Tamandua tetradactyla: one gene and its partners. The protein of the gene in region 4 binds, or shares a complex with, the protein of the main gene of each other region. Links are inferred from orthologs where the notes say so. Each region holds a gene or a part of one and is shown on either strand. Other genes may lie near its edges. The genes, in order: MED24, RXRA, RARB and MED1.

Region 1 (6,999 bases), about 560 kb from region 4:
CTGCCTGAGGATTTGGGAGAGAATCCCAGCACATGAGATACACTTATACTCTGCAGTGAACCAGGCAGACCAGGAGGCAGTGAAGCGGCCCCAGCAGTAATCGGGCTTAGGGGTGGAATAAAGGGGTCTAGAGGGAGAAGAAGAAGGGCTGTGGCTTTGTCTTTATTCCATCCTGGCTTGCTTACCACATCTCTCTTTGAGCCAGTTCCTAAAGATGTTGGGTAAAGGAGACATTTTTAAATCCTAGAGCCAGAGCTGTAGAAAGGAAGCAATTCCTGAGTTACCTTTCCCCCTTGCCCCCCCCCCCCCATCTCAGGGGCAATGTAGGGCATCTTGAACTCAAACACAAAGAACTCACCATTCCCATCTTTTCTTCTTACTTCTCTCTCTCTCCTTGGCTCCCAATATGGGCTGGTGGCAGACTTAGGCAAAGGCAAGGTGAAGGACACACTGCCTCCAAAGCAGGCATCTTGCCAGGTGCCAGGAGCCAGCCCAGGTTGGGTTTACAGCCCCTGCCCCTGGTTGCACTATCCCCCTTCCCAACCCCACTCTCTTACCCACTCCCAGTTTCTTGAAGCTTCCAGCTCTTCTCAGATTCTGTTCAGTCCCAGCTCCTGTTCTCTACTGGCCATGAACCTCACACCAGGTCTCCATTGGCACCATCCCCTCCCATCCCCCTACTTCGCTTCACAGCAAGCCCTGGGTCTGTGGGGAGAGAGGGAGGGTGGAAAATGAGTGAGAATAGATAGGGACCCTCAAAGGGGATTTGTCTGACAGCCCCCTCCCTCTTAGATTTTGGTTGCCAAGGAGGCAGCAGGAACAGCCTGTTCTCTGGGCTCCCACTGAAACAGCATGCCCAGACTCCTCCCTCTCTTCCTCCCTTCTTTCCTCCCTCCCTTCCTTTCAGCTGTTGCTAGGAAGCACCCCAAGATTTCTTGAGGGTCCCACCCCTAGGAACCAGGGGGTCCAGATATCCTTCTCAAAGCTTCTCCCCAAAACTGGCATCCAAGCCCGCACACAGTGTCCTCATCCCTGCCAAGAAGCCTTGCACATCCCAAGCAGTTTAGGGGAGCAGGGACAGGCCCTCTGCCAGTCAGCCCTGGAACGAGCTCTGTGGCCCTGGCCTTGGCGATTTCCCTCCTCCACCCCTTCCCATCTCGCTTGAACCTCTTAGGCTCTGGGTGATGTCAACATGTGGTAAGGAGGTGTACAGCAGATACCCTTTGGCTCCACAGACACAGCCCCACTCATTGGGGTGCTCTGGAAATGAGACACCATCAGCTAAGAGAACCCCAAACCCAGATGTCTCTCTCCATTAGTGTTCTCCAAATCAAGAAGAGATGATGGAAATGGAGAGGAGAGGGAGAGGGAAAGGTCGAAACAGTTATGTGGAGTTGAGAATCAAAGGTCCAACAAAGATGAAGGACTGGGAAATTAGCAAGCAATCACGCAGACAAGAGGAAAGTCACAACTTTACACTTAATTCCCCCCTTTCAATCACCTTTGTCCCATCAGGCACCCTGGTCCTGGCTCATGAAGAGGTGCCCAGGGAAGGGATTTGGGTCTTGCTGAGCCTTGTTTTTTCCCTAGCTGAGGTGAGAAGTGGAAAAAGAAGATAATTTCTCAAGGCTGCCTTTCAGATTTATCCCCCTGTATTCATTCACTGAACATATTTTTTGAGTGTTTAATATGTTCCAGATATTGGATCCCCCAAACTTTCCCAACTTCTGTTTTTGCTTTCCCAGAGAGCTCCCTTATCCTTCCCTTTGCCAGCAGAAGAAAGAAGTGGCGGGGAGGTCTCTATTTCCATCAGGGTCTGCATCCCTGCTACAAGAGTTGAAGGTGAAGATGAATCACTTTGGTGTTGAGGCAGAGTTTAAGAAGAAGAGTTACAAGGGCCTGGAGGGAGGGGTGGTGCAAAGAAAGTAGCAGACTGGCCCCCCTTCCCTATCACTCTCCCCCTGTGTGCTGGGGGCGTGGAGGGAGAAGGTGTCCTCCAGGGTGTTAGAGAGGAAACAATTCATGATTAGTTCAAATTCTGCCTTTCACTGTCCTGGCCAGTCTCTTTCTGGACTTCTTGTGGGAAGTCAGGGACAGGGAATTGTGGGGAATTCAGGGGCTGTCCTTGAGATGGAGCCACCTTTTAGGCCCCTCCACCCTCATCTTTTCTCCCAGATAGCTGGAAAGCTGTGATTTGGATTTGGGAACTGATGGGGGAAGGAAAATGGTTTGGAGCCAGCTGTGTATATAAGTGTGTGGGATGGACTCGTTTTCTCTTCCCTCCACCTGCTGCCAATTAACTTCCTATAGTGGTGAGACCCAGGCAAGCTTCTAAAGAAAGATGTTCCTGTTAGGGGAGGGTAATGGCAGTTTTCCGATGGAATGAAAGTAAATGAAACCCTCTGTGCCTTGTATGCTTGCCAAGTATTTCAATCTTTCTTGGGCTTTTGGGGCTAGACACTTGGTTCTTTTCTCTACTAGCCTAAAGTGTTTCCTTTCCCTTGGATATCCCAAATCCCTGGGCCTCACAGCCTTTTCCCCCATCCCACCCCCACTTTGATCAAGCTCCTTTTCTGCCATTGCTCCAGATGTTGCCATGTTATTCTGCCTTGCTGTCCCCTCTTCTCCAGCCAGATCCATTCCCCCGCCAGTCAAGCCAACAAGATGAGGAAGTTGGGGCTCAGGGCTAGGGAAGCAGAGGTGAGAACACAGCCACTATCAGAGCTGAGAAGGAATGGACAGCCAAAGAAAGAGCTCCCCCAGATTCATCCTCCAGGGAAGTGATTTTTGCCTAAGGGGAGCTAAAGGATGGCTGTTGGGAAGTTTGGATAGAGCTTGGATGATTGCCTCCTCAAGGTATGGGATAGTGGGCAGGAAAGAGGGGTGACAGACCACTGACTGGGGGTCTACATGTTTACTCTAGTTCCTAGTTGGAGATGTTAGGGACAGTCTTGTCCATAGGATAAGGCAAGGCTGAAGGCTGTTTACAGGGTGCGTGGCATTTGCTTTTGGCCTTCCCACTGCTGGGAAAGAAGGGCTGGACATAATTATCTACAATAGTACTCCTTAAGATAAGTGAGATATCAAAATTAAAAAAAATAATAATTAACTTTTAATTTTAGAATAGTTTTAGATTTATATAGAGATTGCAAAAATAGTACAGCAGGTTCCCACATAACCTACACCCATATCCCCTTTTATTGAGTCTTACATTAATATAGTACATTTGTTACAATTAATGAACAAATATGGATCCATTATTTGTAACTAAAATCCATGATTTATTCAGATTTTCTCAGTTTTTACTTACTGCCCTTTTTCTCTTCCGGAATCACAACCAAGATGCCACATTGCATTTAGTAGTCATATCAACTTAGGCCCTCTTGGCTGTGACAATTCCTCAAAATTCTAGTTTTTGATAACCTTAATCTCCGTTTCCATCTTCCTTTCCTCTTTACCCCCTATATTTAAGGGGTATAGATAGAGGGTTAGGAGATTCTGAAGACTCTCAGATTTGGGGGGTGAAATGGGTATGTTAGTGCAACTAGCAGAACTTCAGTGTCGCTTCTGGGATACAGGCGTGAAAACGAGAAAACTTTGGTAACCCAGGAGCTTAGAGGGAAAAAAAAAGATAAGGAAAGCGTTGGAACCTATTGCTGAACACTAACACCTCCACTATGCCTATGAACCAGTGGGGGATGAAAAGGTGGCGGAATCTGATTTAAATACCCTGTCGACAGTGACGTCGTTGGGCGACGCCTGACTGCTGGCAAGTTTTCGAGAGCCTCCCACCCTCCACGTTTCTGTGATGCCCAGCTTAGAAGTTCTCCTTCAAAGGCGAGAAACAAAGCAGGCCTTTTAGATTAGTCCTCAGCTTCATCTCTAGCCCGGACAAAGAATTTCCCAGTCCCGGGAACTACAATTCCCAGCAGACGTCGCGGCGGGCCTTTCGCTTGCTGCATTCCTGTTGGCTCATACTTGTTATTCCCAGCAAATGAGAAACGAGCTCTTTGACATGTGCCAAAATGGCGCGATGTGGGCTCTGAACTGGCTTGTCCGGTAGGTTTAAATTGGGGGAGTTAATGGATGAAAAGGAAACAGTGAATTACAGTTTCGGGGCTGGGGAAGATGGGGCATATGAAGTGTCTCTTTTGGGTGTACTAGTGAGTGACGGTCGCAGTCGGAGCTAAGGGTATAATTAAAACAACCGGAACTGGCCGAACCCCTTACTGCTCTGGCTTTACTTCTTGTATTGACTCCTAGTGCCTCAGTCCAAGAAAGGTTAGGTTGGGAGGGAAGAGCCTAACAGGATCCCTACTTTGTCTCCTTCGCTTTTATCCTTCTAGTCCTGCTGTCCCTTCTATCTTCCTGGTCTTGTCTATTTCGTTTAACTCTGCCCTCCCCTTCATTTTCCTCAAGAACTTCGTCTCTTGTTCTGTAGCTCGGTTTATCCTACTTCGGAGGGGGCCGCTAGCGGCCGCGCCTCTTCAGAGTGAAGTTATGAAGGTGGTGAATCTGAAGCAAGCCATTTTACAAGCCTGGAAAGAGCGATGGAGTGACTACCAATGGGCAATCAACATGAAGAAATTCTTCCCCAAAGGAGCCACCTGGGATATTCTCAACCTGGCAGGTCTGAAGTGAAATATGAAGGAAGGAAGGGTGGGATGAACCCAGAAAAATTGTAACCACTCAGTCTTTGTTTTTCCCCTTGCAGAAGCACTGCTGGAGCAGGCTATGATTGGACCTTCCCCCAACCCTCTCATCCTGTCCTACCTGAAGTACGCCATCAGTTCCCAGGTAAACTGCCTTACCTACTTCAAGGAGTGGGAGATTGGAGGTAAAAAACTTGCAATACCATGGTCAGCTCACATTTCTAGGTGAATTTGTCTGAACAGATCACTTTTCTGAGTCTCAGTTTTCTCGTGAAAATAGTAATACTTCACTAGTTGTTATGAATATTGCATTCACTATTCTGTCAATAAATAATGTGCTGGACAATGGATAGGCCTTGGGGATTTAGTTGTGACAAGACCTGATAAAGGATCTCAACCCACAGCACACGTTTAGTGGGTTATATAGACCAGTAAATACTGTCAGTCACAGGATGAGTTTATTAAAGAAGTGCTGCGGGAGTATGTGGGAAGGCACCTAATCCAATCTCAGCAATCAGGGAAGGCTTTCTGAAGGAGGGGGTATTTAAACCAAGACCTGAATATTGAATAGGAGTTAAGCATACTGAGGAGGCTATGCAAAGGGGAGAGAAAAGCATATGCAAAGACTGAGAGGCAAAAATCATATGATGTTGTTTAAGAACAGAAAATAGTTTGGTATGGTTTGGCTAGAGCCCTGGTTCTCAAACTTTTTAGTTTTGGGGCTGCTTTACGTTCTTAAAAATTATTGAAACCCACCACAGAATTTTTGTTTATGTTTATTGTATCTATCCATATTTACCATTTTTGAAATTAAAATTGAGAAACTTAAAAAAATGAATTCATTTAAAAGTAACAAAATAAATTAATTACAGGTCAATATAAATATAACAATATAAATAACATCTTTTTAAAAAATAACCATATTTTCCAAAACAAAAAATGTTAGTGAGGTGAGTGGTATTGTTTTACGTTTTTGCATTTTTGCAAGTCTCTTCAATGTCTGGCTTAACAGAAAACAGTTGGATTCTCACATCTGCCTCAGTTGTCATGATATGCTGCTTAGTTAATGTATAGAAGAAAATATGGCCTCACACTTATAGGTATTTAGTTAGAAAAGGGAGTATTTTAACAAGCTTTTTGGACAACTTGTATATTCTTTGAAGCTACACTAAGATTTAGTAGGTGATGTGAAACCATACCAATGAACTTTATACTGTTACATTAAAATACATTGGGCTCTTCCCTCCCTTCACCTCACTTTGAATTATCCTCTGCTCATGTGTGATTTTGTAATATCATGAATTGGTCATTTAGAAAGTACAGGTTACTGAGTTGTAGAGGTATTCCAATTGTTGACACATTTTGTTATATAATATATGTTATGGAGTCTCTGGTAAACTCCACCGTACAGTTGTGAGGGAATGCGAGTTAAAAGGGCAAATAACATCTTAGTAGTATTTTAAAAAAGGGTTTTGACCTTTAGGACCCCCTGAAAGGGTCTGGGAAACCCCTGGGGGTCCCTGGACCATACCTTCAGAACTTCTAGGCCAGAATATCAAGTTCAAGAAGGAGACTGGTTTGGAGAGAAAGATAGCAGTTAGGTCAAAAAGGACTTGGTGAATGATACTAAGGAGTTTGTACTTTATCCTAGGATAATGGGTAATCACGTAAAGGGTTTTAAGTGGAATTGTGGTAAGATTTGCATTTTTAAATTAACATACAATAAAATACACAGATCTTATGTTCAATTTGATGAGTTTTTTTATGTTATTGTGGTAAAATCAATTGGATGAGTTTTAAAAATTGTATATACCCATGTTACCAACATCTAAAAATAAGACCTAGGATATTTCCATTCTCCTAAAAAGTTTTCTTGTGTCCCTTTCAGTCCATTACTTTCTCCCACAACCACTAAATGATTTCTGTTACCATAGATTATTGTTGGCCTATATTTGTATTTCATAGAAATGTGAATACTCTGTCTTCTTTCACTTAATGTGTTGGGAGATTCACTTAATGTGTTGGGAGATTCATCTATATTGTTGCGTATGTCAGTAGTTTAGTTTTTTCTTTATGCTGAATACAAAGTTCTTGCATATCCTTTTCCCGCTTGGCATTATGTCTACTTGTTAGTGCATTTCCATGTTAGTGCACATCCAACTACCTTATTCTTCTTAAAATGCTGCATGATGTTCCATCTGTACTGTGATTTAGCAAGTTCCCCAATGATGGGCATTTAGATTGTTTTTAATTTTCTATTGTTATAAATAGCACTATACTGAACATCTTTATATTCACCTTTCTGCCTGTCTTGGAATATTTTTTTATTATAGAAATAGAATTGCTG
Region 2 (7,185 bases), on a different chromosome or scaffold from region 4:
TAGAATTCAAAAGCCACTCATCTCACAGTACAGCTGGGGAAACTGAGGCCCAGAGCAGCACCTGCATTTGAGCAGGGGCTCCTTCTCCTGACTGTCTGTCTGATGGACCCACTATGGGAGGCCTGGCCAAGACGGCTGGGTGTCTCGGAGGGGGCTGCCCTGGGCTCCCAGGTGCCGGAGCTCAGTGCTGTTCCCTGGCAATCTTGAGCTAATTAATTACTGCATGAGCAGGCACTGTGTGTCAGGGGTTGAGGGGGCTAGGAGCAGGGGTGGGCAGCCCTGCATCCCAGGGAGGTGGCTGACCCCAAGTGGGAGGGCTGGATTGCATTCTCTGGAACTTGTCTGAGAAAGAGCCCCTCTCCCAGGTTCTACTCTAAATCCCCAAAGCCCAGGAATCATCTGGGGCTGGGAGCCAGGAGAGCAAGGGGTCTGGAGCCAGGCATGGGTGAGGTGGCAGCAGGTATCCCTTCCCCAATGCCAGGCTACCTGCCCCCTGAACCCCGCCCAGCGTGGTCTGACCCTACCTGTCCTGAAGTCTCCAGGAGCACACTGCCTGGCCCCTGGGCCCTCCTGCTGGGTTCCCCCTGGGGCCTGTTGGAAAAGAAGGCTTGGCTCTGGAAGGGGGTTTGGGATGTGATCTGGGTGGGCTGGGGAGGGACTCCCTCAACTGGGGAGGGGGTTCAGATCCAGGCAAGCACGGTGTACAGGATAATTAGCAAGTGCTCATGCTGGCTGCGGGCTGGGGTTTTCTGTGTATTGGATGGTCTCTGCTTGCCGAGAGGTGCCCGTTTTACCGTAGAGGAGGCCAACTGAGCCCCAGCGATAACTCTGCCCTGTGCCGGGCCGGGGTCTCAGAGCTGGGCCCATGTGCGTCACTTTGGAGGGCCGGCCGCCTGAGCCCCTGTGGGCTGCAGATGTTGCTTGTGGTTGGAGAGGGAGCAGCTGTCCCTTCCCTGCAGCCACCCCCATGTGTCACGGGCCTGGCTTTCCCCGTGGCCAGAGCCTTGCGGGCTCCTCCGCCCAGTGGTGTTGGCAGATGTCCTGCAGTTGGACCCCAGCTTATCGTGCCCAGCTCTGAGGTCCTGGGTGAGCCCTGTTTGCACCCAGGGCCTCAGTTTACCTTTCTGAAGGTGTGGCATCATGGGTCGGGGTGGGTCCACGCTGGTGGCACTGGCTCTATGTCCAGTGCCCTAGAGGTGAGTGCCAGCACTGCAGTGATTCGCCTCCTCCCTGGGTGGGATTGAGTGGGCCATGGGCCCTTCCCTAGGTGGAGGATAAATCGGGGATAGGGACTGCTAAGAGAGGACTGTTGGCCGGAATGTCCATGTCTTGGGGTCCCTGGGCATGTGGGCTGCCCCGGGCAGGGCTGAGTCCTTGGGAGCCTCCACCTGGGCTGGGAGGGGGTGGTCCTGGGCCCAATGCTGTGCCTGTGGCTGGAGGGAGGGCACCCAAGCCTGAGGGTGGCAGGGCCATGGGGGAGGGGGGCTGATGTAGAGTGGGGATCCCCGTCTGGTCCCAGACCCATCCAGTGGCTGTCAGCACCCTGGGGTGAGCCCCATTTCCCCCCCCCGCAACCCAGGGTCTGGGAGCCCTTCTCTGTGGTCAGGGACTCAGGGGGTTTCCTGAGCCACCTGCGTCCAGGGGTGCCCTCATGCCACAGGCAGCAGGGTAGCACTTGCAGCCCACCGCAGGGGTGCTAGGCAGGCTTTTCTGTGAGCGCTGAGGACGTTGGGTTGGCACCTGTGTGCTGTCTGAGGGCAGGGGCGCCCGACGTTTTGTGTCTCTCGCCGTTTTAGCCATTTGGAAAACATAAGAGGCTTCTCTGAGCACTTTACAGCTAGAAAAAGAAAAACAACCCTCGAGGAGAATGGCTCCTACCTCAAGGGAGCAGGGGGTTTTGTTGGAGCCACAGATCACCAACACTCAGTTTCTTTCTGTTCCCTAAATCTGAAGGTGAATTAAGGCATCTCACTTGAACTGTTGAGGTCAAAATTGCTCTGACTGTGAAGTTCAGGCGTTAAAGGAGATGGTCCAGAAGCGATGGGAAGGCAAGGTGTGTGTTCACAGTTGGGGCTTTTGGGTGGTGGTCAGGTGGACGCAGGGCTGCTGCCACTTCAGGGAGCACTGCCTCTTCAGGGAGCACTGCCTCTTCAGGGAGCACTACCTCTGTGCCCACATGCTGGGATGGACCAGCCGACAGGCCTGAGGAGGGGTATAGGGTCAGCACCTCAAAAGGTGGTAACGGAAATAGCCCTTTCCTGGGCACCCAGCTGTGCAGGTGGCCTGGCAACCATTCCTGGGCATGGCTCGGACAGGTCAGGTCAGGGTTTTGGTGGGACCCCCTCCCCCAATGCCTGGAGCCCCTCTGGACTCTCAGGTCTGCTGCCTGGTCCTGGCACCTGAAGTGGAAAGTGCTGTAGCTGTGGACAGAGGTAGGTCAGCTCAGGCTGGGTTGTGCCAGGCAGAGGGTGGCAGCCATGGCACAGTGGGAGTTTAGGGAAGACAATTTGAGGGGCTAGCTTTGTCCAACCCTGCCCCATGCTGGCATGCAGCTGCCAGGGAACACCTGGGCCTCAACGTTGGGTTGTGGGAGGAAGGAGTGTGGGGTGAGATGTCCAAGGCTGGGTGGGCCTCCCCGGCCCTGGCTTGGGGTCCCAGCCTTTGAGCATCCTCCATCAGGACCCTGAATCTCTGCCTCTTCTTCCACCCACCTTCCCTGATACATTTGAGGACACTGCCCCAGCCAGGAAGGGGCAGGCCTCCCGCGTCTGGGGGCATCTCCCAAGGTAGAGAATGGAATCTTCGGTGGCGAACGTGGGCAGCGCTGGGGACTGAGAAGGTGGACTGACCAGGGGCCTCCAGAGAGCACCTGATGCGGTCCCACCCCCATAGTCTGCTGCGCCTGGGCCGAATGCTCTCCAGGTCCCCTCTGTACCCTCTGTCGGAGCCCAGGCCAGGGAGACATTTGGGGTCTGGGTGTGGGGTGTAGGGACAGAGCAGACCCCTGCCTTGGCTGGTGGAGTTGGCAGACCCACCTGCTTGCAGGACACATCCTGGGGGAAGGCCGAGTGTTCTTGCGGCCTTGGCTGGCCCATGGGCCGTGGCTGGGCCGGCCGAGACCCCCTTCCCCTCGGTGGCCCCCCAGTGCACTGTGCATGGGAGCCAGTGATCAGGTCGGGTGTGTGGACTGGGGCCACCGGGCCACCCTCAGCCATCATGAGAAGGGCCCATTTGAGACCAATTTGCTGTCCCTTGCAGGCCGTAGAGCCCTCACCAGGGGACGCTGTGAGGGGCTGGGCTGGGCCAGGCAGGTCAAGGGGTGTCATTAGACACTCCCTGCAGGGGCGAGGAGACGTATCAGCTGGAAGAAATACCCGACATCCCCCTCTCCACTCTCATGCCCCTTCCCCCCTCTATCCTGGGTTGAACCTGACCTAGGGCGTCCTGGCTGGAGAGGGCTGCCTGGGGAAGTGAGCTCTAGGAGATTCTGCTTTGCCAGAACCTTCGTGGACCATGGGGGTGTCCATGGCCCATCTGCACCCCACCCCTTTTGGGGGATACTGTTGACATTGTTAGGCATGGCTCATGCCAGGCCCAGCTGTGGGAGATGCTCCCAGGACCCCCTTGGGAGCCCCCTGGGTGGCAGGGCCTTGGGGTGGTGTGCTTGCAGCTGTGCTGGCGCCATGGAGGAGAGGCTGGGCCTGGGAGGCGTCTCTGCACAGCCACTGGCTGGGTGGGTGGCCTCCCCGGGGGGTGTGCTCATGGCCTCCAGGGGGAAGGGCTCATTTTCCTCTCTGCCGTGGCCCCCCCTCTTGGGTCCAGGTCCACTGGGCCTTGGCATGGGCTCAGGAATTCCAGGCTATCTCAGCCCCTTCCAGCTTCCTCAGCAGGGCGCAGAGCTGCTTCTGTCCTCGCGGCCCCATCTGGAAAGCGTTAACACCGTGTCAGCGGCAGAGGGCCGGCAGTGGCGGGCTCCTGGGGGAGCGGAAGCCGCCTCCTCCCCAGCACACCCCCCGCAGCCACTCCTGCCCTCGGCTCCATCCCCAGTGAGTTTGTGGAGGCCAGGCCTGTGGCCAGCAGGGTGGGGCTTGAGGCTGGGGAGGGGCGGGTAGGCTGGGGGGAGCTGGTAGGGTTGAACGTGCTGGGGGAAGGGTGAGAGGTCTGGGGAAGGGGCAGACCCTGGTGGCGGAGGGGGAGGGGCACACCCCTCCCCCATGGGGCTTCTAGGGGCTTGTCCTTGAGGGGCCTTTGAAGCCTGCCACCTTCTAGCTACAGCCGGCCCACGCATATTCCTGGTGCCCACATGTCCCTCCAGTGGGAGACACGAATGGGGGACCCACATCCACTCTCTGGCTCCCCTCCCTTACCTGCCTCAGCTCCTGGCCCCATCCAGCCCATTCTGGGCAGCCAGAGCTGGTTCCCAGGCCTTTGTGCTGACCCTGCAGGAACGGCCTCATTCGGCTGATGACACTTGTTAGTGTGGCCTTCTGGACATTCCAGCCCTGGGACGTCCCTGCCTACCCCACGTGACCGGCCATCAGACAAACACTGCTGGGCTCATGGTGAAGCTGTGCCTTCCTCTCTGGTGCCACCTGCTCGGCCGGGACACCAGGCTGCAGATAGGCCTTGGGCTCCTGTGGCCGCTGGGAACCTGGCTGCAGTAGGCGCGGGAGCAGGGGACAGGCGTCCCCAACTGAAGCCTAGCGGTCCTGGGGCTGCAGCACGTACCTTTAGGCTGTTTTTCCCTCCATCTCCCCCAAGCTGGTGAGGGACCTGCAGCCCCATCATCACTTCATTGTCACTCTAAAGGGCCCGTGGTGCTCATTCCCACGAAAGGGCACTCGGTAAACAGCTTGGGGGTCTCTGAGCCCCATCCCCTTGGAGTAGCTTTCCCTGCTGGCAGAGTCCACCCTGTGCCATCAGGGCTCTGCTGGTGCCTGGCTGAGCTGTGGGAGAACTTAGCCAGGTGCCCAGGGAAAGGTACTGGTCTAATGGAAGAAGGGCAGCCAGGCTGCAGTGAGAATATCCTTCTTGCTGTCCCCACTTTGGGGACCTGTGGGGCTCAGGTGGCAGAGGGCTCCGAGGAGCTGGCTGTCCTGCTTTCACTAAGAAGCCGGTGGTGTCGTCCTGCATTCGACAGGTACACATGGGTGTGTGAACATTTTCATGCCTGCACACATGTGTGTGAGACAGTCAGGCAGAAGTAAAGACAGACAGACAAATGGAGACAGAGTTCCAGAGCCCTGGAGCAGCCCCTGGGCCTGCTGGCTGCCTCTGTGCTGTGGTCAAGACTGCGCCTTCCTGCCTGACCAGGTGGCTGGGGACAGCGAGGTGACCCAGGCCTTGCCGCCTCGTTCCTGTCCCACGTGCTGACATGGAGGCGTGGGCTCCTTGCAGAACTTCCCATGCAGGACTCTCACGCCTGGTTCATGGCTGCTGCTCACCCTGGCTCCCAGGCTCCCTTGGCTGGTAGGCCCAGCCCTGGTATTGCAGATGGACTCTGGGTGCTGCCTTTGTACCTGTGAGGAACCTGCCCTCGCCTGTGCCCATCCTCAAGGACGGGGGTCCATCCCCGAGCCGTGGGCAGCAGGGAGCTGGGAGGTGCCATACCAGGGCCAGCCTCACCCTTCCCATGGCAGCTGGCAGGGGAGGTGGCAGTGGCCCTTTCCCAGGAGCTGCTGCATGTCAAAACCGGTCCCTGACGCAGCCCATGGTGTTGAAATAAGAGCTCGCAGGTTTCCCAACATCCTGTCTTCCGGTCACAGGACCGGGTGTCAGGCGGCCCTCGTGGGGTCCAGGCACCCACTTCCCTCCCTGGGACTCCGTTTCCTCATCGGGTGAGTGAGAGGAGGTCACCCCTCCCTCACGGCTGCTGAGCACACAGGCGGAGGGCATGACGTTTGGCAAGGTGACATCACTCCGGGTCCATGTCATCTTATAACGTCCCCATTTGACAGTGGGGGAGACTGAGGCTCAGTTGCTTGCCTTGGAGTGGAGGGGCGGGATTTGAACGCAGGTGTTTCTGTCCTCTTTTTCTCCTCCCACGAGGAAGAGAAGAGGGGAAGAGGTGGGTGGGGTGTCTGGCTGACATGGGAAGGGCAGTGGCCCTGTGCCCAGCACCCTGCCCTGTCTGAGGGCCAGCCTGGGGTCTGACCTTGGCTGCCCTGAACTGGACCTATAGGCCCTTTGCTGGGCTGGCCACCCTTCTTGAGGTGGGACCTGGGGAGCCTCGGGCAGCCCCAGTGAGCATCTCTGTCCCTTTGGCTGCAGTGGGCCTGGCCTGTGAGTGGGCAGGGAGAGTGGCTGCTGTGGGGGTGAAGTACAGTTGTGGTCCCTTGTTCCAGATAGTGGCTCTAGGGGATACACTGGGGCCCTCCCCTAACCTGGGTGGGTGTTCTTGGGTCTGCTGTTCAGGGGAGGAGATGGAGGTGCAGAGAGACTGAGTGACCAGCCTGGGGACACACGGCTGACAGGCAGGGTCTACTGCTGGACAGTGCAGTCCTACTCTCTGAATTCTGTCTCGGACATGGGAAGAGAGGACACAGTGGAGCGTTATGCACTCAGGGTGGATTCTGTCTGCTGTTCTGTGCTCTGTGACCTAAGCCTGTCTCCCAGCCTCTCTGATCCCTTAGGGGCCTTTGTGGGCTGGGCATGGAGATGGTTGACAGTTCTGAAATCCTGCTCTGTCGGCAAAGGGGCAGTGCGGGAGGCTGGGGAGGGGCGCAGGAGCCGACCCGACCCCAGCCCGATGCCCTGCCAGGCGGGGCCTGGGATTCTACGAACCCTTGTGGTCAGACCTCACCCAGCTGTGGCGTCTGCCTGTCGCCTGTCAGCAGGGGAGGGGCCCCGGGCCGTCTCTTATGGAGGAGGAAGTAGGTGCCCAGAGAGGGCAAGGGGCTTGGCCTGGGCCGCACAGCAAGGCGCCGCAGAGCTGGGGGCAGCACAGAGAGGTGGTCGCCGGGAGACCTGGCCTGGGGAGGTGGATGTGGCGCTCTGGTAAGGTACAGACTGCCGGGGGCAGGGTGGGAGGAGACGTGGGTTCTAGCCTGTGGTCTGTGGCAAGTTTAGCCTGGGCTAGGATGGCAGTCGTGGTAAGGATGGTGCTGACCAGGGTAGCTCTACTTGATTGAGCATGTGCTGTGCCAAGAACCGTGGCCTGTGCCGCCTGCACAGGGGCATCTGTGA
Region 3 (7,037 bases), on a different chromosome or scaffold from region 4:
CTACAGAAACTGTTGGGCTTGAAGGGGTGTCTTAGTGAATCCTGTACAGCAAAACGCATAGATGTGCTAAAGAGAACAAATATGGAAAGGAAGAGAAGCTTGCATCTTGTCCTAGAGGAACAATGTTTGTAAGTAATCAAGTGGGAGGACTTCAGAGAGGAAATTCTGAAGAAGCAGAGATCAGGAGAGAAAGCAAATGAAGGACATAGTCGCCAAGATTTAAGGAGGAGAGAGATGTTAGAAGAAGAACAAATGTTTCTTGGGGTCTGGAGGATACCCAGCCTCTACAATGATGCCTGGAGCCACCTTTCCAGTTCAAGTTTGGAAAGTGTTTTCTCTCTTCTGGTGTGAGATCCATGAACATCAACAGCCTGTTACATTGGCAGGTGTTCAGTTCAAAGCGCCAGAAGCAAAGTTTCCATGCCTTGAAGAGTGTTAGAACTTCTCACAGCTACTGACAAAAACATCTCTGCCTGGCATCAGCACACTTGCCTTGAGCTGGGCAAAACATTCTTCCTGTCTTCACTTTTCTTCTGAAATACAAACATCACTCAGAACTAGCCATTTATTCTTTTGTCAGAACTGCGCTAAGAAGGGTTTATAGGGGAATTAACTGTAAACAAAGCAAAGCAAAACAGAAACATGAAAGAGGTAGGTGCGCCTTATAAAAATGATTAGCGCTCACCTCTCCCCACCCCTCCTCTGTGTGTGTCTACTTTGTATGCCATGTGCCTGGGTCAGGTATGTCTGTGCCAGCGAGAACCTTATTATTTAAACATCACAAGGCATTTGACCAATTTTGAACACAGCCGGCTACAATGCTGTTGTACACTGAAGCCTGCTCTTTCTTCACAAAACTCTCTAGTTCAAACGTGTTTGCAGAGCATGATTCATGGTGTTTCTTTCTGGATTGTCCAGTGCGTAATTGCTGTACGAAAACCAGAGAAACAGATGTAGACCCTGAACCCTGGCTATAAATTTTTGTTTTATGATTATGGGTTTCAAATGTGCTGTGTCACCCTGACAAATATACAGTTACTACGAAACAAAATGGATTTCACTCTCAAACTTTTGCTTTTTTGTTTGTTTATGGTTAGAAATACTTTCAGTAGAGTTTCTATTATCATTGATCAAACACAATGACACATATCAGAATGTTGTTTTATGAGGAACCAAACAAAAAAAGAATATTTCTTTCAACTTTTTGTCTAATATTTAAAATGGATGTCAATAACTTCATTGTCAACAAATTAACTGGGCCACTTTCCACCTTTTAATACTCATTAAACTTTCTAGTACATGGATACATATTTAAACAATTGTGGCTTATTCTTGGGACTTTCCTTAATTCCGCTTAAGATGAAGAATTCGGAGAAAATCAAGTTTTTAAGGATTGTAAGAATTAGATTTACTGCTTGAGGTAATGATAGATAACAGGTGGCTCAAATGTGGGGTTGCTTTACTAAATTAATACTTGGATTAAGTAATAGCTGTAACAATTGCTATCAGTTTAATTAATTCATGGTGAGAAATGATGAATTGATTGGTGAACATCATTGCATTAAAAGAAACCCATAACATTCTATTCACAAGGATTTAAATGCAGACCGTTCATTTCAAGGCCCCAGTGTTTCTCACACATTCAGAGAACTCTAAGGTGATTATAAATTTTAAACTCTCTTGTGCAGAAAAAGAAAAAACCTAGTCTCCCATCCCCTGCTTCAGACACATTGTGTATTACACAATGACACAGTATTGGGAGAAGAAATATGGGTGTAGGCAGTCTCCCTTCCTAGATGAGGCTGATTCTCTAGCCTAAAACATTGAGAGTGGAACAGAACTTGGGGGACACTCATTGCCATCTTTACTTCCCTGAGGAAAGACGAATGCCCCCCTCTTTTTCGGAAAGACGCTCAGCAAGGAAGTTCCGTGGCTCCCCTGTCTAACAGACACTTGTACCACACACCTTTCAGTGGTGTCTTGTTTCTCATCTCCAACTCAAGTTCTTACTGCTGCATTTTAACTGTAGCTGCGTACTCTCTTCTAACGACATTTCACCCACCTCCATTACTGAACCCAGTTTCCAAGGAACTCTAAGGACCTTCAATAAGCATTTGGAGCTGTTAGCCTCTTGGACCAAATAGAAAGCGGCACATAATGTGGTGCTTTGTGTATCTTTACAACTATCTTAATGACAGTGTGTTAAATGTTTTGTAAATACCTCTGGGCTCCCTTGCTTAAAATGTATGTTTTCTTTGTAGTTAAAGGGTATCTCATAATAAGCTCTGTTACAAAATGATGGCCGTATTAAAAAAAGAAAAGAGAGAAAGAGAAACACATAGTTTCAGCAAAATTTCACCCTTTTATTGCCTGGACTTTTCAATAGCAAGAACTGAGCTTGCTGGGCTGAAAATTGTTTCAATGTACCTTCATAAAAGGATCTCTGACTTAGTAAATGCGCGATGCATACTTTTCATATTACACCACTAGTGCCACTTAGCAACTCTGCTAGACAGCAGAGTTTCAGCATGGGGCGGGGTGCCCCCTGACAGTCTTTTAAAAGGCCTAGATGCCAGTGCACATTCCAGCATGATCCACAAAAAGGAGACAGGAGCAGCATGCTTCCCTGCAAGGGACAAGGAGGCTCTCCCTACCTGCCCACCCTGTTTTGTGGGTGAATTATAAGAAATTCTGGAAAGGAAGGAGAGGTAGCAGGTTGTTTTAATTCCTCTCTCGAGTTTCCTTTCTTTGGTGTGCGTTGCATCCTTTCAGCAAGTTGTGCAAAATAGCTGCAGGTTGGATTAGCTCTCCCTTTTAAAGCTCTCTGTTTGCCTGTTTATTTGTAAATAGTGCATCTGTCCTTCTAGGTGTTTTTAGGCTAAGAAGTGTCTCTTCTCTGTAGGTTGGGCTAGTAGGAAAGGGATTTTTTTTTAGGTTATTCTCTCCTAAAACTACTGTATTTTAGTAAATAGCCAGGATTGTGTTAGGGACTGGTATTTAACAGTCATTTGGTGAAAACTGTCCCTTGGAAACATTAAGCCCTCACACTTAACCAGTTTTCAAAATAGGTGTGTATGTGGTATGTGTGATGATGAGAAGGAGCAATCCAATGGCTATTCATCATGCAAGGATGTGGCAACTGCAAAGTAATTTCAGTACTGGTGAGTTGGGTTCTAGTGGTGGGGGTTTGAGCTGTGTGACCTCAGGCAGGTCTCAGCCTGGCTGAGCTTCTGTTTTCCCAGTTGCAAAATAAGAGGCTAGGTCATAGCTAAGATTTCTTCCAGGAAGCGTACTGAGCACCACACAGGCATTATTTCTTTTTATCCTCCCAGCAACTCACTGGATGAATAGTAGTTTATCCTCATTTTACAGTTGAAAAAACAGACCAAGAGAGGTTAAATAGTTGTCCCTAATCACACAGCTGATAACCAGTAGAGCTGGAATTACAATCCTATTCGGTGCGACTCCCAAGCCCACGCTCTGGACCAGTCCGTTTTCCCGGATCAGGATCTAAAATCCTACATATCTAAGTGGGTGTGTTTTGTGTGTCTAGGCAGGGGTAAACTAATTCTTGACGACTCCATATGCCGTATCATAGACTTGACAGGTTTTGAAGAGTCAATGAATCCAGAAGGCTGGCTAACTCCAGCGCAAGTGCGATCCCTTCGGCCAGGGCTTTTGCAAGGGGGATAAAGAGCAAAAGACTATCGAATGGAAAGTTTCTCAACCCGAGGTTTCCCCGGGGGTAGCTGTTCTCTGCTCTACAATTTAGGGCTTGCATCTGCTTTTTCGGGAGTGGAAAAACATAAGTTACAAGGAATCTAACAGACCGAGAGGCGCTTACAGGAATGTAAAGGGTGGGCTGGCGGCGAGGGGGTGGGCGGGAGGCATGCGGGCAAGGGAGGGGTGGGGACACTCGCTTCCAAGCTAAGCCGCTGTCCTTAATAAAAAAAAAGGCGTAAAGGGAGAGAAGTTGGCGCTCGACGTGAGTCCCGAGCCGCGTCCTGGCTCCTCCCCTGGCTCGTTTTAAAAAACACTTCTTGCATTGTTTTTAAGGTGAGAAATGGGAGCGAGCGAGCCGACGTGTGCGCCCGCCGCCTGCGTCTCGGGCTGTCTGCTTTGCAGGGCTGCTGGGAGTTTTTAAGCTCTGTGAGAATCCTGGGAGTTGGTGATGTCAGACTAGTTGGGTCATTTGAAGGTTAGCAGCCCGGGAAGGGTTCACTGAAAGTTCACTCGCATATATTAGGCAATTCAATCTTTCATTCTGTGTGACAGAAGTAGTAGGAAGTGAGCTGTTCAGAGGCAGGAGGGTCTATTCTTTGCCAAAGGGGGGATCAGAATTCCCCCAGCCGAGCTGTTTGAGGACCGGGATGCCGAGGACGCGAGCGATCCGGCCGGGGTTTGTCTGGGCACGGTCGGGGTAGGATCCGGAACGCATTCGGAAGGCTTTTTGCAGGCATTTGCTTGGAAGGAGAACTTGGGATCTTTCTGGGAACCCCCCGCCCCGGCTGGATTGGCCGACCAAGCCTGGAAAATGGTAAATGATCATTTGGATCAATTACAGGCTTTTAGCTGGCTTGTCTGTCATAATTCATGATTCGGGGCTGGGAAAAAGACCAACAGCCTACGTGCCAAAAAAGGGGCAGAGTTTGATGGAGTTGGGTGGACTTTTCTATGCCATTTGCCTCCGCACCTAGAGGATAAGCACTTTTGCAGACATTCGGTGCAGGGGAGATCATGTTTGACTGTATGGATGTTCTGTCAGTGAGTCCTGGGCAAATCCTGGATTTCTACACTGCGAGTCCGTCTTCCTGCATGCTCCAGGAGAAAGCTCTCAAAGCATGCTTCAGTGGATTGACCCAAACCGAGTGGCAGCATCGGCACACTGCTCAATGTAGGTTTATTTTTTTCCCTTCTTATACCAAGAAAAAAAAATTAATTGTCTCTCTTGCATGCAATAAAGACATTGGAAATAAACTGCATCGGTCGCAAGACAAAGGGTTTAATGATTTAATGCTGCAGGGGTGTGATATGCTGGTGTGCATATTGATTCCCTCTGCTGAAAATTTCCTGTTACATGTTTTCTGCCCAAACAACCCCTCACCCGCCCTTGTTCTTCTCCTTACCAGCCTTACATTTTTGTTTTTGTTTTGTTTTGTTACAGTTTTAAAAATAGGCAGGGGTGGGGCGCAAGTAGAGGGTGACCACAGGACTTTGAAACATTCTTCAAGTAGGGCAGTTGGACACAGTGTGCAGTTTTTACTGCACAGTGTGCAGAGGGGAATTTAACTTTGCTGTTCTTTGGCTTCGCTATTAGTTGTATATTTTTACCCCCCGTGTGGATTTCAACAGTCCAAAGTAATTAAAATATGACATCTTCTCTGCAAGAAATTTAGCCTAATTAAGGTGGCTGCTGCTCCTGAAGTTCATAAACCACCAGTTAAAGCAGCTACCTTCAGTGTTTTCCTTACTAAGGAAAGGCAATATTTCTTACCATTGACCCCGCTGCCACCTTTCCAAGTCACTTTGTTGCTCTAAGAAGTTGCTGTTTTGCTAGAAAACTACTGGCAATGAACACCCCTTGGGCTGAGCCATCCATTATTTCCATATCTTGCGATTCAGCCGGGGACCTAGACTTCGGTTGCAGGAAAGGACATCTAAGTGTGGTAGCCCGGTTTTTAAAAAAAATATTGACTGTTTGGTTATCTGATGCTGACAGGGTGCCGAAGCATGCATCTGGTCAACAGTAGTCTGGCCGCAGGCTTGAGAAATGACCAGAAGTCCCAGAAAATCCCACCTTCGAGTGGCTGGAGTTGGAGCCTGCAGGATGCTTCGCTGCCCTGACAGTGATTTAGATAAATGGCTCGGCTATCTATCAAAATGTTTTTAGTACTTTATTTGACAATTCATTGGAGCATTAGCCTGAAAATGACATTTTAAATCTTTGTTTTCAAAGAGGTCAAAGTTTAACTGGAAAAAATTGAGTTTTCCTAATAACTTAGGTGGCTTATCTAAAGAGAAAGAAGAAAAAAAGGAGAGTGGGAACAATGATAAGATTTAAATTGCCCTCTCTGAAACTTTTTCTTTTAAGAATAAAGCCTTGCTTCTTGGGCCAGGAAATCAACAGGTTTGTAGCTGAAAAATCAATAATCTTTTGATGTCAACAGTTAGGCTGTCTGATTTAACATTTCAGAGAGCCAAAAGTAGGGCAAAAAGATTATTGTTTCAGTAGGCATCTTAATCTTTCGCTGCTCCCCAAATGTCTTTTTTTCCTGCTGCCTATTTTCTTTCTGGAGAACTCAAACTGAGTGTTACAAAATAATTTCCCATCCCACTAGCAGATCTTTTAGACTTGTAGCAATTAAAACAGCACGAAGGAGGTCATCTGGAATCCTAGTGAACTGGGTCTCTCTGAAACTTTTTCTTGTGAGAGAAAGTTCTAGTGGAGCATAATTTTTAGCAGAAAGGAAAAAAAATTGCTCAGGATCCTGGCGGAAAGTTAATAAACCTAATAGAACTTTTTTTCCCTAACATGTAGACATTCCCTCTTTTGTAATTAACCCTCCAAACATGCCTATTAAGTCGTAGGAGCTGGGGAAAAAAGCTTTGTTTATTCTTGAACAAGTTAAACAAGGGATTTGCCTTATCTGGGGAGAAAGAGTGGTGAATGTGTCATTTGCCTAGGGCTAGCCGATAAGCAAGAAGTGTTGATAACAGCAAAGTTGAGCTAATCAAAGAACTTGCTTTAGAAAAAGTAAATATAGGCATTTGACAAAGGGATTTCAGAAATTCCAGTGTCTTATTTTTGTAAGCAGGGCAATTAGTGCTTATTGTGGTCAGTTTCAGAAGGGTTTGAATCCCACGTCCAAACTTGAGGTAAAATGAATAAAATGTAAATATTGCTTGTGCTCCTGCAGAGTTGCTTTATCCTCCATAAACCGCGTTATAACTGGCCACTTTAGTTGTTCAAGCGATTAAATTTGTGAACATAATTGAAAGCTTAAAAAAAAAATGCTAACAAATATCTGCCACGCAAT
Region 4 (7,021 bases):
AGTTTAGATTTTAGATTTAAAGAGTCCTCTGGAGCCTTCCCCAAAGCTTAGTAATTTGAGTGAAATTTGCCCATAGCCATATTTATGAAGATTGCTCCCATGTGTACCTCCAATGCTCTTCTTGTTTATTGTCATGTCTCTCTGATCTTTCTAGGGTACAATTTTTTCAATTGTGTCCTTTTATCTGCACTTACATATGAGAAGGTATAACATACTCTGTTCTATGACCAAAATTAATAAGCTTTATAAGGCTTAAAATGTCCTAGCTACATTTAGGACAGACATTATACCTTACTTGCATAGATTTTACAGAAGAAAATGCAGCCGTGTACCTAACATTGATAGTTTGAGTATAATAATTAACAAAGATTTTTTGAGCATCCATGATTACAGTGGCCAACCATATAATCAAAACCTAAATCGAGGAGTCTATCAAGAGTTGAGGCTGGGTTTTCATCTTTATATTACCAGCTCCTAAAACACACATATTAGAACTCTGTAGATACTTGTTAAATGAAGAGCATTTTTTTGACAACAGGAAAGATTACAACATTCTAAATATGAACCATCTTCAAAATTCTCATTTGGACAGAAGCTCTTTGTCCTTCATCAATTTTAGGGTTGCCAGATTTACATAACATTTCTCTTATGTTATATTTGGGAAATACTTTTATGTTAAAACGTACTCATTACTTATTGAATTTAAAATTTAATTTAGCATCCTGCATTTTATTGGGGAACCCTATTAATTTGTTCCAGAAACATGCATTGAGTCCTTGACACGTGCAGGAGTAGTGCTAAGCCCCGGGGAGACAGCAGTGAATGAAACAGACCCAGTGTAGCTCCCTGGCGCTCACTTGTCTAGAGAAGGCAGCATGTAACCAGTCATTATACAGTCAATTAATTATTATTATTATTTTTTACTGCACAAAAATCCAACTTTATTGAACACAGTAATAGATGAATTTTCAAATCATTTTTGCTTTATGAATATTGCTTTTTGTAAACTAGTTGATCCATGAAAATACTAATTGGTACTATGCAAAGAGGCTTGTCTATTCTGGTCAAGTTAAGATTTAGCTTCAAGTCTATATTCAGAAATATATTTAAATCTAGAGAGATGCATTTATGACTGGATTATAAGTGCGAGCTGATGCGTGATATATGCACTGCTTAATCTGCTAAGAGATAAAGGCCAAGCTCTTTACTGCAATCTTCAAGCACAGGTACAAATTTACATTTTATATAGAAGCTCAGGTTATACTCTTATTCTTACATTGATGGGAGTTGATGTCAGTAACTTAAAGGTAAGTAAATACTTTTGCTTTCTACCATTTACCTAAACAAAAACACATGTGGTATTTTTATTAGACAAGACTTGCTTTTTAATAATTCAAGCAATAACGCAACATAATCCTTTGTTGAACAAAATGACCAGGTGTACTAAGGAAACCATTTTTGGATGAAGTGTATAATAAGCACATTTTATTTAAATAAATCCTCCAGTAGGAGATGATTCATTGCTTTACTTGCAGGATGGCTATATAAGTAATTAGCTCTCAAATTGTATCTGTGCAGCTCCCCAACATTCTCTTATTGGAACTATCCTATTTCCACATCGCAGTTCCCAAAAGAACCTTGAAGTCTCAAAATTCTGCGTCTCCTTTGGCTTGCTTCTCTCTTGATTCTACCCATGCTTTATTAATTGTTCACATCATATCATCATCTCCATCTTCATAAATTTTCTTTAGAACATTCATCAATCCCTCACCAGGACCTGTTTCAATGTCATAGGTGGGCTTTTCTTTATCTTTGCATTCTTCTTCAACCTGAGTCAGGTAGTCCCACCGTGTGTTTCCTGCTTTCTTTCTACATAAGATAAGAACTGTATCAGTCTTGACTTTTTTTTTGAACTGCCTTCCATAGAGATGGGTTTCAAGAGGTCGTTCACAATCATGGAATAATTCTTCCCATTTAGATTCTTCACCAGAAGATCAAAAGACCTCTCTGTGAAATGCATCTGCACATTATCAGTGGGGACCTGATGAACTCCACTTAAGGTAATGTGGATTTTCACAAACTTATCTGACTGATCCAATCCATAATTACTTATTTTCACTGTGTATCCTGTTGTAACCGGACCAACCACAGCCGCCGGCTTTTCATTTTCAAGAGGTACTGCTTTCCCCTGTGATTTCTGCTGCATCTTGTTCTTGATTTTCATCTAAATCTTGGATTTTTCAGCTGTAAGTGCATCACGTATTCTTTTTCTAGTGGCCTCTTCCAGCAATACCTTCACCTCTTCCAGGTCTTTTTGTAGCTCTTCTAAAGCTGGGTCAGGCCAAAGGCCCGAGTTGCAGTCGCGCAGGAAACGCTGTACCGAGTACACTCACCCGGAAAGCAGTCCGCGCAGGACCCGGAGCAATGCCCACAGCCAGTGCGCACACCGACCAAATCGCCGATCGCCTCCACCACACGGCGCCTCTCGCACCTTCGTGACTCAGCCATCGCCTACCCTGAGCCCAATTAATTAATTTTGATGGTGAAAGTACTATTAAAGAAAAGTTTGAATTAGAATACCTGATGGAAGTCAGGGGTCGGAGAAGATTTGTTTCTTCTGTCTAGAGGAAGAGACATTCAAATTAAGATCTGAATGAGGCCTGAATGAGGTGAAATGTTTGGGGTGGAGAGGGACTCTCAGAAGTTAGAACGGACTTGTTAGAGGAGGGCCTTGGGGGAAGGAGAGCAGGAATTTTCCTTCTGGAAGTAAAAGGCCAGTGTGATCTGGCGTTGGCAAGGGGAGAAGAGCTGAGTCTAGCACGGCTTTGTAGGCATAGTGAAAGGTCCAAGTACAGTCTACTAGGTCCAAGTACAGTGCTTGCAGTGGGGGTTCAGAAATGGGGCAATTCCTGCCCTAAGAAACTCACTCTGTGATGACTCAAAGGCATGAAGATAAAAGGAATAGACAAGAAAGAAAATTTGAACTCTACTTTCACGGAGCATAGTTAGACATATACATGTGACGATACACATGTTCTAAGACAGTTCCAAAGACTTGTTTTTACTGCTAATCTGAACTGCAGTACTAGCTGGGATGGTTTTGGAAGATGTGTGAATAGCACTTTTGAAATATGAGAAAAGCCTGAGACTACTGAGCCAGTAGAGATCCATTGCTTAATATTCTGTAGCAAACTAGGTAAAATCCAACTTTTCAGCGGTAATTTTATTTCCAATGACCAGTATATGGAAAAAAAACCATTAAAAAATAGCTTTAACTGTATTAAGAACTTTCCCCCAATGCTAGCTTAGCTTGGGTTTTCAGTTCTAGTGGTCATGAATGCAGCATTATTCCGAACTTCTCTTTGTAAGGATTTAATAATATACAGTATATTAATAAATATACAGATATTTAATAATATCTACAGTGTTAAGTGCTTATGTCTTCACGATGACCACAAGAGGACAACATCAACCGTGAACACTTTAGATCTCTACATACAAATAACAACATAAGATACTTTGATTCCTGCAAATAAATTTACCTTAACCTGAAATCTCCTAGATCTTCAAATATATTCTAATTGCTCAAGAAACATTTCTGAAATTTAAAAAAATTGGTAAATGGTTATTTAGTTGGGCTAGTTTCGAACTTTGTGCTACAAAGCACAAGCATATTTTTTGACATAATTTTCCATTTAGAATATTGGGGAAAACGTTATCATCTTTAATAGTAATCTTTCCTTTCTTTCAGTAAAGAAAGCCGGAATTTTAAATTTGCGAACTGCTTAAGAGCCAAAATAGAAAAAGCCAGTTTTCTCAAAGCAGTTTAAGATTGCCCGCTCTCAAACTCAACACCGAGCCACGTGAGGTCTGACACTCTAGAGCAAAGGGAAGGCTGGATTGGAAGAAATCTCGCGAGAAATGAGCATAAAACAAGTTCGCGAGATTTTTTATGCCCCGCCCCCTCTCTTTCTCTGTCTCTCTGTCTCGCTCTCTCTCAGGATCCCGGTTAGTCTCGCGATCTTTGGGAAGTTCCGTTGGGGAAGATGGCGGCGGCCGCGAGCACCCTTCTCTTCTTGCCGCCGGGGACTTCGGATTGAGCTTTCCCGGGAGGAGTGGGGTCTGCTGGTGCCCTACGTCCCGGAAGCCCGAGCCAACTCGGTTTCCCTCTTAGTAGTGGGGAAGAGCGTATTTGCTCGTGCGGCGGACTCAGGCCCTCTCCGCCGCCAGGATGAAGGCTCAGGGGGAAACCGAGGGTGAGTGACTGAGGGTGAGAAAAGGAAGGGATGGGACACAACAGGAAGGACTTGCCTGTGTGAGGGGCTAGGGGCCGATGTTTTGCGGGGGTCACTCCTCAGAGTCCCGGAGGCGGGATGTGTGTGAGTTTTAGACTCTCCTTTTGCAGATAATGGTGGAGATCTGACTTTGGGTAATGGGGCTCCCAACTTCTGTTGAGTTTCCGTGCTCAGCTGGGGCAATCAGCTGGGCCTCAAGGGCAGTTTTTAGCCTAAATTGGCATTTCCCTAGAATGTCAGATCCTATGCTAGTATATGTTTTTTTAAGTGCTTTGAATTTCATCCTTTCATTGGCCAGACTAACACAGAAATGTTGAGGAACAACTTTTCTGTGCTACTTTACTCAGACCTTCTAAATATCTGCACTCCAGTTCAAATGCTGTCTTTGCAGTTCGGCCAGCTCACAGTATTTGCTTATGTTCTCTACTTTATTTTGAACTTTGTAGATCAGAGGCCCTGCCTTACTCATCTTTGTGTAGTCCCTGGCACATAACAGTTGCTCAAAAATTTTTTGTTGATTTATGCATTCAATAAAGTTAATTATTAGGCTTTTCAAAGCAAAAGAGGGGTGTGTTTTTGAAGAAAGAAAAGTATTGCTCCTTGGGTGCAGAGGAATGACAGGTGTGAAATGGAAACTGTGAGGCAGGAGTTTTGCCTAGTTTGCACCTAAAATAGTGATTGAAAGAAAGAAGCTTGAAAGTAGGCTTTGACAAAAATGTGTTCAGAATTATAAATTGACTGAAACAGCCCAAGAGCCAGTTTTCCAGAAGATGAGAGGGCATTGGAAGGAGTGTGAGTCTTGATTTAGAAGATCTTTTCCCATTGCCTTAACTCTAATTGAGAACATTCTACTCATCATTTAATACCAACATCAGCTGCCACCTTTTCTGTAACATCCCCTCAACCAATGGTGAACTTTTCTTCCTTTGTATTCAATAGTAATGTGTCCTGTTTTTAAGAGCATATCTCACTTTGCTTTATGTGATGGTCACTTCCACGTTAATTTATCCACACCGCCTCATATATTTTTATCTTGGGGATTTTGTGTGTTTTTTACAACTGCAGGGGTCTCTGGCACAGCTCCTTGCTCAGAAGAGGCAGCTCAAGAACTAGAGAATGGTTGAAGGGCAGAGGAACACGCACTTATTCCAGGAGACACTCCTGTTTACTTTCTCTTGTGCTGGAAACTCATCCTCTGATCATTGATCTCTTCCCTATTGATGTAATTTTAGTTGAAATTAAAAAGAAATAAGAAATATCTGAATGGCTAATAAAGCCTGTTTTCTTGATTACACCTACAAACTGATGTCTCAAAATTATGCAGAAAATTAAGGAAGTTAGTATTTTCACATTGAATAGCAACTAGCCATAGCAAAAGCCGTGTTCAAATGTATGCTCTACATTTATCATTCCAGGGATTTCATGCATACCATGAAATGAGCCTGTTGCTAAATTGTAGGATAGATCCTGAAACATGATTAGAGATGACTCTTCTTTTGGTTCCCATGTAAAGTTTGAATAGAAAGCAATCCTGTTCTATGGTGTTCCTTAGGTTAGATCCATAATATGTGTGTTTTCCTGTTATTAAAAATATTTTCTCTCTGTTTTGAAGTAAATGATGAAAAATATTTAAAATGTGTTCTTACCAGGATGAAGTATGGAGTTTTCTTGCAAGAAAAGCTGCAAAGTCTTGATAAAAGAGTGTCTAATGATGTTTTCTGATTTATATTGTAGAGTCGGAAAAGCTGAGTAAGATGAGTTCTCTTTTGGAACGCCTCCATGCAAAATTTAACCAAAATAGACCTTGGAGTGAAACCATTAAACTTGTGCGTCAAGTCATGGTGAGGATTGTGGTAAAATTGGTTAAGTGTTGCATTTCGAGAATTATTTAATAAGATTGGCTCCCCATGTGGACTTGTTCAAATTAGTTATTATAGTGTGTCTTCAATTTTATTTAACATAAAACACCTGAGTACATTGGTGGCTCTCAATTTTAGACTCTACCTGGGAAGCAGGTTTTTTTTTAAAATACTCTTCATGGTGAGTTATAGTACTGGGATACTTTAGGCAGAGGTGCTAAGAAATGTACCCATGAGGGTCATGTTTCATACACTGGTTTAAAAAGATAACTTATTCTTCAATTCCTCTCAAGCTCCTTGATTCTAATGTAACATTACTTTCACAGTGTCTATGTTGTTAGTAGAGGTTGTGGTTCATTCTTTTGTGTGTGTGTGTGTGTGTGTGTGTGGTTCATTCTTAATAAAGGTGAACTCTGGGTTTACACCTGTCCAGTCTGTCAAATTCTTTCTCAACAGTACTGCATTTCATTCCCCTGAATCAACCACCAGTACAGGAAGCCCTTAACCAGTAATGTGGAAGACAGGGTCAGTCTCAGAGCTGGATGTTAAAGGCCATGCATTTGATTCCAGTAGTAGTCAAAATATGCAGTGATGTAGGAAAACTTGTTTTTTGACTTGGGCTGTGGTTGTATGGGTGTGTTCACTTTGTGATAATTTATGGAGATGGTTCATGTGATTCATGTACTTTTCTATCCATGTTATATTTCAATGAAATTGCCCCGTCACCTCACCATTTCTTATGTTGTTCAGTTTGATAGATATATTAACATTTAAAATGAGCATGTTAGTGGCATAGCATTAGCAGAAGTAATGAATTTGCTGTCAGAAGACCTGTATTTGATGTCTAGACTACAGCACGTGTTACCT

What was found.
Region 1: the proteins of MED1 (region 4) and MED24 are in contact, whole or in part, in a cryo-EM structure (PDB 8T9D), measured with the Homo sapiens proteins. The link is inferred for Tamandua tetradactyla from reciprocal best matches to the Homo sapiens genes MED1 and MED24. Residues at the interface, in NP_004765.2 of Homo sapiens: Phe375, Asn377, Gly436, Leu437, Gln439, Glu441, Ser453, Asn459, Asp460, Ser461, Leu462, Val463, Cys464, Tyr480, Lys481, Gly482, Asp485; in NP_055630.2 of Homo sapiens: Lys7, Ile10, Trp14, Lys15, Arg17, Leu47, Ala50, Met51, Ile52, Gly53, Pro54.
Region 2: the proteins of MED1 (region 4) and RXRA are in contact, whole or in part, in a crystal structure (PDB 1XDK), measured with the Mus musculus proteins. The link is inferred for Tamandua tetradactyla from reciprocal best matches to the Homo sapiens genes MED1 and RXRA. Residues at the interface, in NP_001073587.1 of Mus musculus: Asn641, His642, Pro643, Met644, Leu645, Met646, Leu648, Leu649, Lys650, Asp651; in NP_035435.1 of Mus musculus: Phe282, Val285, Lys289, Phe294, Leu299, Gln302, Val303, Leu306, Arg307, Thr454, Phe455, Glu458, Met459, Glu461, Ala462, Pro463.
Region 3: the proteins of MED1 (region 4) and RARB are in contact, whole or in part, in a crystal structure (PDB 1XDK), measured with the Mus musculus proteins. The link is inferred for Tamandua tetradactyla from reciprocal best matches to the Homo sapiens genes MED1 and RARB. Residues at the interface, in NP_001073587.1 of Mus musculus: His642, Pro643, Met644, Leu645, Met646, Leu648, Leu649, Lys650, Asp651; in NP_001276689.1 of Mus musculus: Ile264, Val267, Lys271, Phe276, Ile281, Gln284, Ile285, Leu288, Lys289, Pro435, Leu436, Glu439, Met440.

What each region holds. Positions count from the first base shown.
Region 1 is NC_135332.1:27,219,873-27,226,871, forward strand, and holds the start of MED24 (mediator of RNA polymerase II transcription subunit 24), read left to right. Parts: upstream 1-3,995; 5' UTR 3,996-4,059; intron 4,060-4,072; exon of another isoform or gene 4,073-4,163; intron 4,164-4,419; 5' UTR 4,420-4,500; coding exon 4,501-4,630; intron 4,631-4,714; coding exon 4,715-4,797; intron 4,798-6,999. UniProt on the Homo sapiens protein: Component of the Mediator complex, a coactivator involved in the regulated transcription of nearly all RNA polymerase II-dependent genes.
Region 2 is NC_135328.1:13,494,750-13,501,934, forward strand, and holds the start of RXRA (retinoic acid receptor RXR-alpha), read left to right. Parts: upstream 1-4,168; 5' UTR 4,169-6,860; coding exon 6,861-6,996; exon of another isoform or gene 6,997-7,001; intron 7,002-7,185. UniProt on the Homo sapiens protein: Receptor for retinoic acid that acts as a transcription factor.
Region 3 is NC_135341.1:62,707,068-62,714,104, reverse strand, and holds the start of RARB (retinoic acid receptor beta), read left to right. Parts: upstream 1-4,029; 5' UTR 4,030-4,737; coding exon 4,738-4,894; intron 4,895-7,037. UniProt on the Homo sapiens protein: Receptor for retinoic acid. Retinoic acid receptors bind as heterodimers to their target response elements in response to their ligands, all-trans or 9-cis retinoic acid, and regulate gene expression in various biological processes.
Region 4 is NC_135332.1:27,776,027-27,783,047, forward strand, and holds the start of MED1 (mediator of RNA polymerase II transcription subunit 1), read left to right. Parts: upstream 1-4,000; 5' UTR 4,001-4,231; coding exon 4,232-4,256; intron 4,257-6,029; coding exon 6,030-6,136; intron 6,137-6,534; exon of another isoform or gene 6,535-7,021. UniProt on the Homo sapiens protein: Component of the Mediator complex, a coactivator involved in the regulated transcription of nearly all RNA polymerase II-dependent genes.